Linked DNA regions of Cricetulus griseus. The main gene of each other region encodes a partner of the protein of the gene in region 2 in a complex. Links are inferred from orthologs where the notes say so. Each region holds a gene or a part of one and is shown on either strand. Other genes may lie near its edges. The genes, in order: Peli1 and Mdc1.

What was found.
Region 1: the proteins of Mdc1 (region 2) and Peli1 are in contact, whole or in part, in a crystal structure (PDB 9IF9), measured with the Homo sapiens proteins. The link is inferred for Cricetulus griseus from reciprocal best matches to the Homo sapiens genes MDC1 and PELI1. Residues at the interface, in NP_055456.2 of Homo sapiens: Glu761, Asp762, Ser763, Glu764, Thr765, Gln766, Pro767, Phe768, Asp769; in NP_065702.2 of Homo sapiens: Arg104, Ser105, Thr106, Glu107, Thr115, Asp116, Val130, Gln131, Ser132, Thr133, Ile134, Ser135, Arg136, Phe137, Thr185, Asn186, Thr221, Arg222, Ser223, Ala224, Cys247.

What each region holds. Positions count from the first base shown.
Region 1 is NW_023276807.1:85,379,863-85,387,947, forward strand, and holds the end of Peli1 (E3 ubiquitin-protein ligase pellino homolog 1), read right to left. Parts: intron 6,883-8,085; coding exon 6,781-6,882; intron 3,795-6,780; coding exon 3,597-3,794; intron 3,512-3,596; coding exon 3,323-3,511; intron 2,756-3,322; coding exon 2,189-2,755; 3' UTR 361-2,188; downstream 1-360. UniProt on the Homo sapiens protein: E3 ubiquitin ligase catalyzing the covalent attachment of ubiquitin moieties onto substrate proteins. Involved in the TLR and IL-1 signaling pathways via interaction with the complex containing IRAK kinases and TRAF6.
Region 2 is NW_023276806.1:229,744,458-229,754,315, reverse strand, and holds the start of Mdc1 (mediator of DNA damage checkpoint protein 1), read right to left. Parts: upstream 5,331-9,858; 5' UTR 5,328-5,330; coding exon 5,192-5,327; intron 3,784-5,191; coding exon 3,403-3,783; intron 3,318-3,402; coding exon 3,242-3,317; intron 2,847-3,241; coding exon 1,588-2,846; intron 1,470-1,587; coding exon 1,401-1,469; intron 1,251-1,400; coding exon 1,158-1,250; intron 67-1,157; coding exon 1-66. UniProt on the Homo sapiens protein: Histone reader protein required for checkpoint-mediated cell cycle arrest in response to DNA damage within both the S phase and G2/M phases of the cell cycle.

The DNA.
Region 1 (8,085 bases), on a different chromosome or scaffold from region 2:
GTACTTACACAAAAACACCTGACTAATGATTTTTATCTCTTGAGTCTAAAAACTTGAGTTTCATAGAAAATGAGCCATGTTTTATTTCTTAGCTGATAGGAGAGAAAATTCAGGGCTTCTGGGAACATAGAACCTTTATCATCATAAGCATGATTCAGGTAGCTCAGTTGCCAGCTCTCTAACAGGCCTAATTTAGAGGACCAGAGACATTAGTGTTCCATTAAATGCAAACTCCTATGTATTTAACATGATGACTACGTCAGCAGAGTGAGGCAGATCTAGTTAGTCTGGGGTAGAATTATCACTTCTGGCTTCCCATTCTCAATTGTGCAAAAAGGAACCCACAGAGACAAATTCAAATATCTATTTTGAAAAGTATTTACTTAGTTTGAATAAATTAATTGCAAATAAAAATTAAGCTACAATATATAGCCTCAACAGAAATGACAAGAACAAACACAACACAGGACTCGATTTCCTTGCATTAGTCACAAATCATGTGACCAGAAAACTTCAAAATCAACTAAATCTCTTTGAAAAAAGGGTAATAACCAGCAGTTACTGATACATCACAGCTAACTTATAATACAAATTTCTTGACATGCATTTCCTGAGTGAACCCAAATGATCATTTTCAAAACAAAGAATTTGACAATCAAGTAAAATAAAATAGTTCATGGCTTCTAAGTGACTTTTTTGTTTTACTTAAAAAAAAATCAAAACACTGATGTAGTAAGATGAAGTAAAGCTATACTACCACATATAAGAATTTGACAACAGTCGATTAAGTATTATACAGTTTTTCAAACTAAAGGAAAGGAAACCAAAGATTGAAAGATGACTCTATCTAATCTAAATGTATGCTGATTTCTAGAAGTGTTAAAAGGGTTTGGTGTAGTGCAACTGTTTGTATGTCTGGTGCATTTTAAAAAAGGCTAGGGTGAGAAGAAACTGTCTTGCAAAGCACATACTGGAATTAGAGAACTAAGAGACCCTGCGGTGTGTCCTCCTCTGCTGTCACTCCCCTCCATCCGCCAACCAGACATTTCACAAGTCACACTGAGGCCACTGTCCTTAGGAGTCAAGACCACAGTTAAGGCTGGTCTGCTGGATTAAAAGGGAGGTACTACTGTCATTCAACCCTTTGTAGTTTTAGATTTCTACTGCTTGGAATAACCCAAATACAGAATAATTTACAAAACGCTTTTTATTTCTTTTTTTCTAAAAGCAAATCAAGTAATTTTCTTTTATTGTTAATTTCTTGTTAATTTATGTACTTTCTCATAGGATTTTTTTCTTTTTTCTTTTTCTTTTTTTTAGAAACAGTGAACAGATGAACCACAGTTTATATCCAAAAAAATAAACTTGCCAAATGTCGCTGGCACTAAAAACAGATCAGTTACCATGGGAGAAAAATAGATCATCTAGATTAGATTGCATATTCAAAGGAGCATATAAAATGTCTCTTAGCATTAGCTTTTGTTATAGTACTACACTTGAGAGAAACATTAAGGAAAAAAATGTTTTCCGATTAACTTCAATGTGGTTAAAAAACAAACACCTCTTAGACAATGGTAATTAATGTGAATCTGGTTTTATGAAATACTCTAATTCATCAAATTCCCTACTTATACAGGCCTGGGGGAAGGAAGATCTCTTGTCTTTCTCCTTAACTTTGCAAATCCTTGAGCTATGTGCCCACTAAACTACCATTCACACCCAAAGTGTGTGACACCATCATTACCATGCTACTCTATCACGACATTCTAAGGTATTTTCTATGATAAAGATAAATAGAAAAAAATTAATATACATGTTGCTATATTTTACAATGTTTGCAACAAATTGTAAACTAACGTAGTTTGAACCAACAAACCCTCAGTTATACAGAACAACTCAACACTGAGTATGGGTGGTGATTCAAAACACTAAAACGAAGGCATCAAATTAGACTATGTCTTTTTCTCCTCAAAATATATTTTCAAAACTCAGAATTCAGAAGTCTGGAACTTTCAAAATTTCCTTTGCTTGATTTTCTCAGATTTTTTTCAGAAATTGCTATTATAAATATTTAAAAAATTCTTCATCTTAATGCAATGACCAGAGCAGAGAAACTTACGTGGACAACTGGTTGGAATACCCAACTCACTTAGCTTATAAACTTATAATGCAGTCCTAGAGACAGCTGTTAGTCTAGAGGTCCTTGGAAAATAAGTCTGATATAGCCTTGTTCACCAGCCAACTGATGTGCACAAAAGGGACAGGCTGCGTGAAAAGTGTGAGTACCATGAGGAAGTGGGATCTGTGACCAATAGGCCGTTGTCTTTTCTGAACACACGTGCCCACAAGGGCTAAAGGCATGGGTGGGAGGGCCGGCGTCCACATAAAATCCAGCTTCACATCCAAGCCACAGAGGGACATAGGGACCAACAGACCTACACATAGGACATTCACGATCTTTTCCGTCACGTTCTTCTTTGTTTCCCCAGTTATGATAACCATGAACATGGCCGCAGTTTAGATATACCCACGGTTGTTTTTCATCTACAACGTCTTTCCTCTTCATACTGGGAAAGGCTAGTGTGTTGAACCCTACAGGGCACTGAGGTCGGGCTGCATTGATTTCCTGTCTTAAAGCTTCTAAGTGCTTCACAGTAGGAGTGTGGGAAAGGCCTTCCGCAGTACGCCAAAGCAAGGTTGCACCACAAAGGTCAATTAAGGAGCCATCTTGTAGCTGATTGGTTTCGATTTCCACCTGAAGGAGAAAAGAATCAAAACCGTATTTACCATTGTGTTTACACTAGGTCTTCAGTGAGTCCTAATAAGACAGAGAACCTTCCAGGATTACCTGCTAGACTTAAGGAAGTTTCTATTTGTGTGTAATGTGGAAGTAGAAATTTTAGAAGTTTGAAAAATGCTAAATTTGAAAATCAACAATAACACATTGAATAGCAACTTCTGTCTTTCAAGCCAAAAGACAACTTATGATTTAATTATCTGGCTAATCAACAAACTTAGTTATTTTTAATTAGTTAAGTATAGTCAAAGATATGTACAAAAAAATAGATGCTTAACCTTTTCTAGCTGAAACAAACACCATCCTCTAGAATTAGTGTTTGGAGGTCAGTGTTTGATGGTCTTAGTTTTTGTGTGTCAGGAATATGTCTAAGAGCTGCAAAAACCAATCAACTGACAATCTCTCTCTCTCTCTCTCTCTCTCTCTCTCTCTCTCTCTCTCTCTCTCTCTACTTCTCTCTCTCTCTCTCTCCAGTTCAACTTACCCTATGTTTATTGTTGTAAAAAGAAGCTACACAGTACTTACCATCTTTCCTCTCTGTTGAGCTGATCTGGTTTCTCGAAGACTGAACACATTCCCACAAACTGATATTTCTCTCCATATTCCAGGCTTGGAGTCTTCTGTGAACCCATTTCGTGGATGCATCACAAGAACACCATTAGTGGTCAAGCCATCCATCTGCCCATCAGATGTCTTCCATTTGGCAGCTTTTTCCTATAAAAATAGTGAGTTTCTACTTATGTGCAATTTGGAAATAGAAATTGTATAAAAGAATACATTAGGAAAAAAGGCTTTTTACCCCAAGAAAGATGTTTTTTGATGAATCAAATCCTGCAGCATAAATCCGAGCTGTAAAGGGGGGATTGCGCTCACATATGATCCTACAGGCAAATCTTGAGATAGTGCTTTGTACTGACTGTGTGTCAGAATTACTCTGACTTCCAGGAACTGTGTCAGTTACTACAAAATCAATAGGACTTTCAGTTGACCGACCAATCTAAAGGGGAAAAAAAGAACATATGACTTCATTCAAAGACCACAGTAGAATCCATTAAGAAAGAGATACGGTAAAAGTATTAGGCCTCTGAAATTTCTAAATCTCACACTTAACAATACTTAACTATCTCCATCTACACCTTTGAAACCTAATCTGTCACACTGATACAGCAGTCACTTGGAGCATAGAATTAAGTGGGAACTACAATGGAATTTCCAAGATCCTTAGGGAATAAAGACTCTAATGTGATGAGGTTCTTAGATGGCCTTAGGCTTTAACCCTTTTAAGGTAGAAATATATCTACCATATACTACCCCACCTTAACAGAATACACTGAAGGTGAGTAAATCTTTTATGACAACTCTAGAACATCATTGAAATAAAGCTAACCTGCTGCTGTGTTCCCAAGCTGTACACAAACACTGATCCTCACTGATGGCTGTAGATACAGCCTTGCTCTGAGTCTCTGAAACAGATCTCCACCTCTTTGCATTAGGTTATTAGCAGCTGTCAGTTTTTGCTTTTGGTTGTGCTTGTTTTTAGCAACAAGCCTCTCCTCCAACCACTTACTCTGATAAGGATTGAGACATCAAATAACTAAACTTCAAAGAACAGTACTTCAAAGGTACTTTGTTCCAGGGTCCCCAAGGAAGCACAGAAAAAGAATTCTCTATGTAGGCTGTAGGATTTGTCATACACCTTGGTATTTTTTTTTCATTTCTGAGCAGTAAGGTTTCTAGCTGGAGTCCTTGGTGAGGCAGGTATCAGGGTAAACTATCTTTAAAGTACTAGCTAGTAAGAAAGTTTCTTGCATCTTGAAAGTTGAAGGGGGAAAAAAGAAATGAAACAGACGACAAAAGTGACATGTGTCACTGGTTTTAGTGGAAACGTTTAGAAATCATAGGTTCTATAACATATTAATGATGGCACATAGAAAATATCAACTCTCTACAAACAGGATTCCTTTGGGGGGGGATGTCTAGCTATATAGTCCAAGATGGCCTAGAATTCTACCTCCTTCTGCCTCAGTTTAACCAAGTAGCTGGAAACACAACTTTGTGCCTCGGTGCATGGTTTTTACTTTTCCAGAGGAGACAGAAGTGAACCCAAGGGCTGCCTTAAAAAAAGTCAACCTAAACCAATTTTCTGTTACTTCTATGTACCATGTTCTAGCTATAAGTAGAATTGTCAATTTTCTACCATACTTTATACTATTTCTGACATCCTTTATTTTAGAATCCCTTTCACTGGCTATTGTCAGAAGTCCTATTAAATCTGGTTAGTAGGTATAGATTTGTTTTGTCTCTCTGAGACAGGGTTTCTCTGTGCAGCCCTGGTTGTCCTGGAACTTGTTCTGTAGACAAGTCTGGCCACAAACTCACAGAAATTTGCCTGCCTCTGCCTCCCAAGTGCTAGGATTAAAGGCCTGAAGGTACAGATTAAAAAAAAAAAAAAAAAAGACTATGACGTCTTTTACCTGTCCTTCCTCCCCATCAGAAGTCTGCACTTCTCACTGAGACACTGGAGAGCACCTCCACATGTTAACTGGACTGGAATCTGAATTTTTACCTGACAGACTCAGCATGAATGTTCTTACTCAGTTTGGAATGCAGATAAATCATCCTTCAATAATGAAGTAATTTACTAGACTGGTTTCTGATTTTTCCTAGACTTTATAGTACAGATATCTTTAATTTTCCACAGGGATAATGCCCACAGAAAATTAACTTAGGAAAACAAAGCCAACTACAAAGGACAAGATAAACATATAAATACAAGTTTTATTTTTTGAAGTTAAATTTCAAATATGTGAGCAAACAGCTACTTGTCATTTTGACTTTTAAAAAACTAATCACATTTATTTTAAATATTGCTTGTTGATAAGGATGTGGGAAAACACTGTTACTATTATGTTTTATCGTGATCCAATCTTTCATCACTAAGGATGTTGTTTATTTAGTTTAGCAAAAACAAGGAAGAGAAACAAACATCCATACTCTAATAATAACTGTGAAGATACAATTCTTAAGAAATAATCATACATCTTACAGAGCTAGATGAGAGATCAGCCTCAAACATATTTTGCTAATGATCAAAATTAAATAGATCTCTCAGTCCTTTCATTTAGCATTATAAAAAAGATGAAAACACTAATTGGACAATAATTTTAATTGACTGATAACAGTCAATTCTAGTTAAGTTTCTTTAGAAAACCAAATATTAAGAGAGAAAATATTAAGAATTTCATGTCTCTGGGCTTAACTGCTCTATAATCTATCAGCATATAAAAATAAGTATCAGCATCAGATTGATGCAGAGAATGGGAACCAGAGGGAGAGATTTTTATTATACCAGTAGCCTTGACCAGTTGTGTGCTGAAAACCAAATTCCTCTAACTGATGTAAATAGTTAGAAACTGCCTGTACTCTTTGTTGCTTAGAGAGGAAGGTAGGAGGTGGGTAACAAGAAGTCTAAACTATGTGTAGAATGTTTCTGGTTTTCTGTTTGGAATAGCAACAACCACTATTTACTATGAGTTTACTCTCAGCTGGCTCGGATCTGCATCTGCTCCATGCACGCACCCCCTTAAGCCTCTAACAGTCCTGAGGGAGAGACTATTCTCTGCACTTTACAGAGGAGGAGGAGGCACAGAGTAGCTAAGACATGTTTACCAGGCCAGAAGAGACACTAGATCCCCTGGAACCGGAGTTACAGGCTGTTATGAGCCACTTTAAGGTGGGGCTAGGAATCAAACCTGGGTCCTCTGCAAGAGTAGCAAGTGCTCTTAACCCTCAAGTCAACTCTCTAGCTTCAGAGCCCATCTTTAAACAATACTATGACGACTTTTAAATATGAGGCTTCAAAAATCAACACATATTTTAAACAGATACAATATGAAAGTATATTTAATCTGATCATAGCAAAGTCACTGACAATAGATTTTTAAACCTTTTCATTTTTAAAGAAAAAATTTATGTTATAATACCTGAAACATATCAGTGTTGCTGTCATGAGTATATTCAACCACCACTGTCTGGGCTCGAGATAATGTGTATGATATGCTATGCTGGTCCTTGTTGCTTATTGCCTATGAATGAAAAGGTTAACAGCAAAAATTAGCAGTCAATCAAATCAGACAATCTCTTCAACTAAAGGAAGGTAAAATATTTGTCACATACATGTATACATGATATATCACATACATGATATATCAAAAATTTAAAAAATTGACACTCATCAATTTTTAATCCCTGAGATTTTTCTTGCTTAAAAAGGAGCTATCAATGAAAGCATGAAGGGCAGGATAATGAGAAAGTAGGGCTGGGAGGTATATCAGTGCTAGGGACACAAAGACAGGACGACACCTCGAGCTCACTGGCCAGCCAGCCCACAGTGATTAAAGACCTCCAGGTTCAGTGAGACCCTGACTCAAAAAACAAGATGGAGAATGACTGAGGAAGCCACCAGATGTTGACCTCTGGCCTTCACAGGCACACACACAAACATGCTTCCATATACATACAAGCATGCACATACACAAAATGAGAAAGTAGATTATATGCATTTCCCTTGACAGTGGTCCCTCAACCAGAGGTATTATATAGTTAAGAGGCATCTGAAAATATTTAAATGCTTTTGGCTGTCACAATGATGTTAGTGATTAAATGACTTTTAGTGCACATGGAACCAAGGACTTAAATATCTTGTAACACATGGGATAGTCCTCATAATGAAGAACTGGTAAATTCCAAATTCCGAGACACTTCCATGGGTAAACATTACAAAGAGCACCTCAGAATGAGCTGCCACCATCTACTAAACACATTCCTTCTCTACAAAGAAGCAAGAGGAAACACTGTAGGAAGACAGTCCTCCCACACACTCATCGGCTCTTAAACAGTGAGCAAGGAGAGGCCAAATCAAGGCTTGATATCCAAGCTGCATATAAAACAAGGCTGAAATATAAATAACTTCAGGGACCAAACACCTAAAACAAGCAATATATACCAACTGTAATGTGCCTCATTTATTTAATCATACATTTAAGCACAGACTCTCTAATGTTCATGCACACCCTAAGGCTACTTAGCTCCTGATACCTCTAAAAGTCAAGGAACTCTGTAATGGCTTTTATCTGGATACCACATTACTGAATTCAGTTTGTTTTATAAACTGGAAAAACAGGAATTCCAAGGCAAAATGAAGATTCAAAACTTCCTCCACTTTCACCAGTCTAAAAAGGCACAAGGAAATAAAAGGGGCTCGGAGGATGAACATGGCCTGGAGGGTG
Region 2 (9,858 bases):
CAGCTTCTCTCAGACAAAACGGCTGTGTAGCTAAGACTTCCCAAGGCACATCCTGGGCACCTGGACCTAAAGAGGATCAGAAAAAGGAAATAGGCATGCAGGTAAAAAAGACAATAAGGCTAAGAACTAGGCTAAGACTCACAAAAGGCTAAGTGGGTTACTTAAGGCAAGCTAGAAGTAAGGGTGGTAGTTATGACACTGAATACTATTTAGAAGATTATAATCTCTCCTTCAGGAGGCTCATCTGGAAAATAAGGACTGTGTATGTGGCTGAGGAGAGCATTCACCTGGCATGCATAAAGCCCTGAGTTCAACCTCTGGCATGTAGACACAAAAATTGAGTTTCTGGGCCAATCCCAAATCTCCTGAACTAGAATCAGGGTAAGACCCAGGAATCTGCTTTGATGTGTTATCTTATCTTTTAAGATGTATTTAGAAATGTTTCTTCATATGTATGTGCGTATATCGTGTGTGTGTGTGTGTGTGTGTGTGTGTGTGTGTGTATCTGAGAGGGCCTTGATCTCCAGAAACTGGAGTCTCTCTCAGGTGGTTGTCAGTTGCCTGACAGGGATGAACTCTGTCCTCTACAACAGCTGCCAGCCAGTTCTCCAGCCCATCTTCTTCCCCTTCCTGAGACAGGGTTTCTCTGTGTAGCCATGGCTGTCCTAGAACTTGTTCTATAGACCAGGCTGGCCTTGAACTCAGAGACCCACCTGCCTCTGCCTCCCAAGTGCTGGGATAACCCAGCTCCATCTTGTTTTTTTGTTTTTTTTTGTTTTTTTTTTTTTGAGATAAGGTCTCATATAGTCCAGGCCTCAAACTTTCAATGTAGTCCAGGCTGGTCCTGAGCTCCGGCCTCTGCCGCCCAATGTGTATCACCACACCTGGTATGGATTTTTTCCTGATGCCCAGCACTTGGAGACCCACAAGTTCAAATCATCCTCAGCTACATGAGCTCCTCGTCTCCACACAAACAAGAGTATGAGAGGCTGGAGAGATGCTCAACAGTCAGCAGCACTGACCTCTGTGGGCACCAGGCATGCCCACAGACATGATGTGATACAGACACATCTAACACAGGACACAGCATTAAAGGACACAGCAGAAGAGGACGAGAAAGGATACAAGGCTGAGGGCTCACAGAGACTATCTTGTACCTGGCGTCTGCAGGCTGAGGTGGGAAGGCCCAGGCTCTTGGGGAAGAGTGCATGGAAAGACTTGCGTAGGCTCATCTTCCAAACTCTGGACAGCTGCACAAGAAAAGACGGCTGGAGCACAGCTCCTCCCAGAATGCCTGTGCCCCATGCCCCATCTTGGCCATACCATCTTTCTAGGACTGCCAATCTAATCCCCTGGCTCTTACTGGCACTCAGATGACCCAAACAACACAAGGTCCTCACCTTCTGAGCTCTGGCCCTCCCTGTCTACAAAGCACTGGGTAGCCGGAAGGCACACATCTTCAGACTCTGCTGAGGAGATAAGAGACAGACAGAATGACAACTCACCCTCAGACTTCTACAGTTCTCTCCTGACTCTTACAGCCAGTTTACTTCAGGGGTCAAGGGCAGAGCAGAGAGCAGCACTTACCATCACGGCAGTCTTTGGCATTCTTGGTCCTGCCCATTTGTACTCCTCTCTCCTTTCCTGTGGGGGTCTGGGCTCCCTCTCTCTGTGGCTGAGTGGGATCCCCCAGAGTAGCTGTAGGCACCACCACTGGCTCTACCAGTGTAGCAGGTGACCTGCCTTGGACCCCCACCTCAAGCATGCTCGCCTGCTCACAAACAGTTGCAGCCCACTCTGTCCCAGCATCTTCTACTCCTGGCTGCTTGCTTTGTCTTACATCTGCCGCTGCTGAAGATGAGCCTTCCTCCACAGCTGTTTCCCAGGCCTCCTCAGGAGGCAGGACTTCCTTCCCTGCTTGTGCACTACTGTCTTCTACTGTGGCAGAGGAGGCCTGGTTTCCCTCTAGCTGACCACCAGGGGAGCCCATATCCACACCCTGGTCTACATCATCACTGGCTCTATGGGGAGCTTGGCTCTCTGAATGTGGGACAGTAAGAGCCTCATCTGTGTCCATGGGGCTGTCAGGGACCACTTCTCTCTTTTCCTCCTCCACGTCTGTGTCACTGTCTTTCCCAGAGGCACTCTGGCTTCGTTCTACGAGGACCTGTGGTTGGGACTTGACCTCTTCCATGCCTGGCTCCCTGCTCCACAGAGCCATCCCCCTGTCTTTCAGATGGGCCAAGGTGACTGCTGCTGAGACTCCATCTTCCTCATCTGTGTCGCTGCTGATCACCATGGCCGTGTGGTTTCTCTCTGGAGGGCCAGCCACTGGAGTCTTGCCTTCTTCCACACCTGTGCCACGACCAGCTGGGCTGTCCTGCAGATGGGTCACGACAGGTGCTCCAGGGTCCTTTTTACCAACTCCAAGCAGGACTTGCTTCTTCCCCGGAACTACAGGGGGGGTCACAGGGATCCTGTCTTCTTCCACGTCTGTATCGCTGTCCACAAAGCCGGAAGGCTGGTGTTCTTCACCCATTTCCGTGTTGCTGTCCTTACCCACAGTGGAGCCCCTCCCAACCACAGCCGCTCCATTGCCAGCCTCACTCTTGACTTTTGCATCTCTGAGCTTTTGCTCAGCAGGCTGAGCCAGTACCAGCTGGATACCAGATGTCACTCCATTAGCTTCCAGCTGCTTGGCCTCTGCAGCAGCACCATCCCTGGCAACTGAAGAGGACTCCCCAACTGCTGGCTGTGGACATAGCTCTTCATCTGTGTCACTGCCCAAGTCAAAGGGCAAAGACGGCCCACGGACACTTTGGGCTGGAGAAGACCCCTCTTCATCACTGCAAAGACAGAGAGCCCACAGAATGTACTCCCTGGATAGGCCACCCCACTCCGCTGTGAGGGCCCTGAGAGTGAGCAGGCACTGCTGCCAGGTGTCTTCCCATCCCCACTGAGCACACCACAAGTACTCTTCATAATTTAATTCAGCTGAGGAAGTAATTATGCCTAGGCTCTCGGCTCCACCTGTCAAGATAATCACCTCATTTATTCAAGACCGACTCTTTATTCAAAGGCCGAGGTGTCTAAAACCAGTTAAGGAAGCTCAACCCTATCGTCCCAATCCTGATACTGAACCCAGAGGTCTGCCAGGAGTCTAAGACCAGCTTGGGCTACAGAGACTGTTTAAAAACAAAACAAAACAAAAGATCCAGGCATCTGGTACTTTGCTACTCACCTTTCTGGTACTACTGTTGCTGATGGAGACGTTGGATTCCTTGATCCATTTGCCACATACCTTCCAGAAGGAAAATCTGGCAAGAACAGGAAGAAATAAATTGACAGTTTACACCCTCATTCCTGTCTCTTCACACACATACACCCAAGGCACAAACTTACCTACTTCCTCCTCCGAATCCTCAGCCAACAAAACTCTGGAGGTTTGGGACCCTCCCTGTATTCTGGGGGTCTTCTCTATAGTTAGAAGTCCCCGAGAGACCAAAGGTGGAGGGACATCCAAGCGACGGTACTGGCAGGGAAAGTCTGCAAACAGAATTAATTCCTGGTCCTTCAGACGATGGCTCACTCCAGGGGTTAGGACCTTTGGGGGCTTTACCAGTTGAGTGCCATTGAGGCTCCCACAATCCTGGAGGATAGGGGCTTTGTTGCAAGCTGAGATTTCAATTACTGCATGCTGTTTAGAGATGGATGGAAAAGGCAGGGCCACAGAGCAGTCGGGGCTTCGGCCAATTACATTCTTGCCAAGGTAGAGTGGGAAATCTAAGGATCAAGAAGAAACATTAAGTTGGGCGTTGGTGGCACACACCTTTAATCCCAGCCCTCGGGAGGCAGAGGCAGGTGGATCTATGTGAGTTCGAGACCAGCCTGGTCTACAAGAGCTAATTCCAGGACAGCCTCCAAAGCCACAGAGAAATCCTGTCTTAAAAAAAAAAAAAAAAAAAAAAAAAAAAAAAGAAGAAGAAACATTAAAGAGTAAGGGCAGAGTCCTGGCCTGAATGAAGATGGTACCTACTGCTCACTCAAAGCTCTCACAGGGTTAAGAACAATGGGCACACCAGCGTAGAAGAGCATTCACAATACATCACTTTGCTGTAATATTCTATCTACTCACCTCATCGGTATTGTTCCAACAGATCCGAAAACAGTTTCATGCATGCTAGCTAAGCACTCTTTCCCTGAGCTACTGCCCTTGCTTTGTTTTTGATCCAGGGTCTCACTATGTAACCCAGATTGTTTTCGGACTTGCTATGTGGCCTAGGTTATCCTCAACCTCACCTCCTGAGTACAGGGATCACAGACATGCACCACCATGCCCAAAGGGAGTTTCTTATTGTAATAAAATACACAATATAGGCTGGGCATATTAGCACATGACTTTAGTTCTAGCATTTGAAAGGCAGAGGCAGGTAGGTTTCTGTGAGTTTGAGGCCAGTCTGCATAGTGAGTTCCAGGACAGCAAGGGCTACATATATACTCTGTCTCGAAGAAAAACAATACACACAATATAAATCTAACCATCGCAATCATTGTAAGTATACTGCTCAGTTGTGTTACATATCCATTTCTAGGCCACAATGTATTTTACCTTTTAAAAATTTTATGCCCTTTAGTGATGGCACACACCTTTAATCCCAGCACTCAGGAGGAGGCAGTGGCAGGCAGATCGCTCTGAGTTCTAGGACAGTCTGAGCTAGACAGAGAAACCCTGTCTCAAAATAAATAAATTTTTTATTTACTCATTATTTATGTATATGTGTGCACCTGCATGAGTTTATGTCCACCATATATGTTCAGGTACCCAAGGTCAGAAGAGAGCATCAGATCCCCTGGAACCAGAGCTACAGGTGGTTTTGACCACCATGTGGGTGCTGCAAACCTAAACCAGGTCCTCTTCAAGAGCAGTAAGCACTCTTAGTCCCTGAACCATCTCTTCAGCTCCCACATTCTATTTTTATTCGGAGCTCTTCATTTTCTCCTAACAAAAGAAAAACACTCCCAGAAAGTACAGGGTACCCGCCTGGAACAGTCAACTCAGGTGGCCTCTTTGTCATCCCTAGTACAACAATTATTATCCTCTTAGAAACATACATAAGGTTTACCAATGATCCAACTGCCTCTAAGGAGAAGACAAGACCCAATACTCATTCAGCTCCCAATATCTCCTGACCTCTTTCTGGTCCATGAGTACTACTGAAGAGACGCAGCTGCCCTATAGGCTCCAAGCTATACCCCAAGGACCCACTGGGTATTTCTGTCTCCTCCTCCTCTTCAGCATCCCAGTCAATAACCTGGGTGTTTTCCATGACCTGTGAGGGAAACACATTATCATTGTTCTGGTCATTGGTTTACACACACTTGTAGAGAAAAAATAACGAGATAACCCTGGAGGAACGTGGAGTGACGTGGGGGTGATTCCTGCCTGCCTTTCCTTCCTTCCTTCCTTCTTTCTTCCCAGACAGGGTTTCTCTGCTGTCCTGGAACTCACTCTGTAGACAAGGCTGGCCTCAAATTGACAGAGATCCACCTGTGTCTGCCTCTTGAGTGCTGGGATTAAAGGTGTGCGCCACCATGAGGTGATGCTTTTCTGTCATTCTGAAGCATGTAAAAATATTGGGGTGGGGCATGGATAGTAAGAATGTCAGTGACAGAATGTTTGGCTAGCCTATGTGAGGCCATATGTTCAACACTTAGTACTATCAATGGGAAAAAAACAACTTTTTTGGGGGCCAGCCAGTGGTGACACACACCTTTAACCCCAGCATTTGGGAGGCAGAGAGAGGCAGATCTCTGAGTTCAAGGCCAGCCTGTTCTACATAGTGAGTTCCAGGGCAGCCAGGGCTACACAGAGAAACCCTGTCTAAAAACAACACACACACACACACACACACACAAAACTTTTGATTAAAAGATGTTGGCATATATCTGTAACTCCAGCACCTGAAATCCCAAGGCAGGAATATTAAGAGTTGGAGACCTGGCCAGGCATGGTGGGTGACACACGCCTTTGATTATAGCACTTGGGAGGCAGGAGTCAGTTCAAGGCCAGCCTGGTGTATGTAGTCTGTTCCAAGCCAGCCAGAGCTACTAGTTAGACCCTGTCTCAAAAGAGTGGGGTATAGAAACCACCCTTGGTTACAGTAAGACCTTGCTCCCCAAAACAAAACAAAAATATTATGTATGTGTATATTTATACTTTTGGTCATGACAAAGAATTAAGGTCCAAGTATACCATTATATATACATTATATACAAAGGAATGTTACATGGGATTTTAGGTACTGGAAACTAAACCTAGGGCTCACACATGGCAAATGCTCTACCACTGAGCTATATCTCCAGCCCCAAAATGGGTACTTTTATTTAAAGTATATAAAAGCATGATAAACTGGATCGAGGTAGTGTATGTCCACAGTTCCAGCTGCTGAAGGAAGCTGAAGCAGTGCAATTGCTTGAGTCCAGGAGTTCCAGGTAAGCTGGGACAACATATTAGGACCTCTTTATAAAAAATAATAATAAAATTGCCTGGCCTTGGTGGTGCATGCCTTTAATCCCAGCACTCAGGAGGCAGAGGCAGGCGGATCGCTGAGTTTGAGACCAGTCTGGTCTCCAGAGTGAGTACCAGGATAGACTCCAATGCTACACAGAGAAACCCTGTCTAGAAAAACAAAATAATAATAATAATAATAATAATATAATAAATAATAATAATAATAAATAGCAAGTTCAAGTTAAGCGGTTAAAGGGACGGCTCAGTGGTTAAGATAACTGCCATGTTCTTCAAGAGGTTCAGTTCCCAGAACCCTCACAGCAGTTCATAACTCCAGTTCCAGAGGATCTGACACCTTCCTTAGAACCAGGCCTGGCCCGTGTGTAGGCACGGGTTGCTGAGAAACTGCTACATGAAATATACTGTCTTCTAACCTCTGACACACAGATCTCAGAGAGCTACTGAGGATCAAACTCAGGGCCTTGTGCAAACTCCAGGTTTTGATGTTCTTTTTAGACAGGGTTCCTCTGTGTAACAGCTCTGGCTGTCCCGGAACTCACTCTGTGGATCAGGCTGGCCTCGAACTCACAGAGATCCACCTGTCTCTGTCTCTTGAGTGCTGAGATTAAAGGCATGCGCCAGCACCACCCGGGCCAAACTATTTTTAATACTTTGTCTAATTCATTTATTCTTCCGAAAAACCCTGTAGGTATAAACTATTCTTTTCTTTTTAGGCGGAGAAACTACAACATAGATGGGCTCCAAGTCAAACTTGCCTAATGTAACTCCCTGGCAAGACGCTTTTTTTCCCCTACACTCCAGATGGTAGCGGGGGAGCCGCCTCTGCATCTCCCCACACCCACAACCACGTCCGTCTCATTGACTTGACAATGAGGAAGCGCACCTGGCACCTCAACCAAAATAAACCCTGCTCTCTCTCTCTCTCTCTCTCTCTCTCTCTCTCTCTCTCTCTCTCTCTCTCTCTCTCTCTCTCTCTCTCTCTCTCTCTCTCTCTCTCTCTCTCCTCTCCTCTCTCTCTCTCTCTCCTCTCTCGGGAGCTACGAGGCCAGAGAGCTACTCGTGAAGGGACAGTCTGACGACCAAAAACCTCAAAACTGCCTGGGAAGACCTTTTCTTTTTTACCTATAAAGATGCCACGAGCCGCTGACAGGGAAGTCAACTCCGTCCTGTCAGCCGCGCCGACGCCTACGACCCTTGCTCCCCGTGAGGAGCGACCATCTTTGGCTGACCCGGCGGCCCACAGATTCCCTGTCAACAAACCTTCGCCTGGGCCGCGGTTAGCAGAGGAGGGAGGCCCTGAAGCGACAACCCGAACTACCTCCGCCCAGTCAGTGACACCCCAGCCAGGCACGCCCCTCTGGCGTGGCCACGGCAGGAATCAAGATGGTAACCCGGGCGCGGGCGGCCGACTCACCCACGGAAACCCCGCGCGCGCGCGCGCCGCCAGCAACGGCCGCCACCGCGGTGGCGGGAAAAGCGAACCCCGGAAGAGTCTCGGCGGGCCGATTGGCTGCTGGAGCTGTCTCTTACGAAGCGGAGAGCGCCGATTGGTTAGGATCCCGCGACGGAAGCCCCGCCCCCGCCTCGCCCCCTCACAGCTCAAAAAAAGCGTGGCTGGCGGCGGGAAAGGAGCCGAAGCAAGCGCCGCTAACAGGCAAAGGGGGTGTGGCCTGAGACGCCGGCTCCCTGATTGGCTAGCACCCTGGACCCACCCACCCATCCACCCTCCGTCGCTACGTCCTCTGCCGCACACTTCCCGCGCCGATTTTCCAAACGCCTTACTATAGAGTCTCGCGCCAGTCGCCGGCAGTGGCTAGAAGGGCCGTACCATAGACGTCGTTCCGAGGCCAGAGCGCCCTTCTCGGTCGTCCCAGAAATGGCGCTGGCCGGCTCAACGTGTAATGAAGGGTTTGCGGGCTGCAGTCGTGGCTGCGGGCTGCACACTGCAGATTGGAAAGGTGCCCGTAGGCGTGGCGCTCCAGAACTCCCCGTTGCAGAGGGATTCCATTTGCTTCTGATTTGGAAAGCTTAGCAAGGAATATGTGTGTGTGTGTGTGTGTGTGTGTGTAAAATGACGGACATTTTGAGGTCACCTTCCTAAATGGAAGATCCTAAATAAAACAGACGTGGGTGGGCAAAACTGTTTTACTAAAACCTCAAAATATCTGTCATCTTTCAAAAGATGGGAATGAGATAAAGAAAATTATTATCGTCACAAAACATGAAAGCGTAGCAAGGAAATGGGCTTGGATAGTTTTTAAGTTCTCTCCCATCGGTTATCTCGTTGTGTTCACAATAAACAAATTGGCAGACGTTTGTTTGAAGCTGTAAGTTGGATTCCTTCCCCATGTTCCTACTGCTAACGGGACAAATTCAAGTAACACAAAATTGATCTCTTTCCTTATTATCATGACCCAAATTAATTGTGTTTTTAATGAATGAAGGGGTATTAATGCTATTTAATGTTCCTTTATTTAAAAGGTAACTTGAGCTGTGTATGGACTGAATGTCAGCAATGTCTTTGATACATTTTCTCTCTGACAAAGGGTCTCACTATGTACCTCTGGCTGGCCTAGACCAGGTTAGCAGTGAACTCATTGATCCTCCTGCCTGTCTGTCCACACCTCTCCTTCACGACCTGATACTGCTTACCACACCCCTTCCTTTGTTTTCTCTTTCTTGAGGAGGTATTTACTCATGTGTATTAGAATTTTGTCTGGATGTCTGTCTCTGCACTATCTGAGTGCCACATGCCTGCCGAGGGCGGAAGGGGGTGCCGGGCTCCCTGGAACAGGACTTACCCATAGTGGAAAGCCTTAAATAGTGATGGGAATCGAACCTGGCTCTTTTTCCGAGGACAAATGCTCTTAATTGCCGAGTCATCTCTCCAGCCCCGTGTGTGGTTTGTTTTCAAGACAGGCTCTCACTTTGTAGACCAGGTTAGCCTTCAGCGTACAAGAATCCTTCTGCCTCAACCATCCTACTGTGTGGGAGGTTGGACACAAACTAATTTTCCACTCATTTATTTATTATTTATTTATTCTGAAACTGGGTCTAAAGCTGTACCTCGGGCTGTACAGGAACTCTCTTAAGTAGCCCAATTGACCTTGTACTTCCTGAGATCTTCCTGCCTTGGAGTTACAAAGCAGGTGTTAACCGTGTGAACCACCCCTGCTGACTCTTAGAATCATTTTGTATCCCTCTTACACTTTCAGGATACTCAGTTTCTATCAAATGAAACCCTGGGAAAAGCTTCTGGGCTCTGACTCCCATTTCTCAGTTCCTGGACTCTGCCACAGCCTCCCGTAACGAATAGAACCAACCAA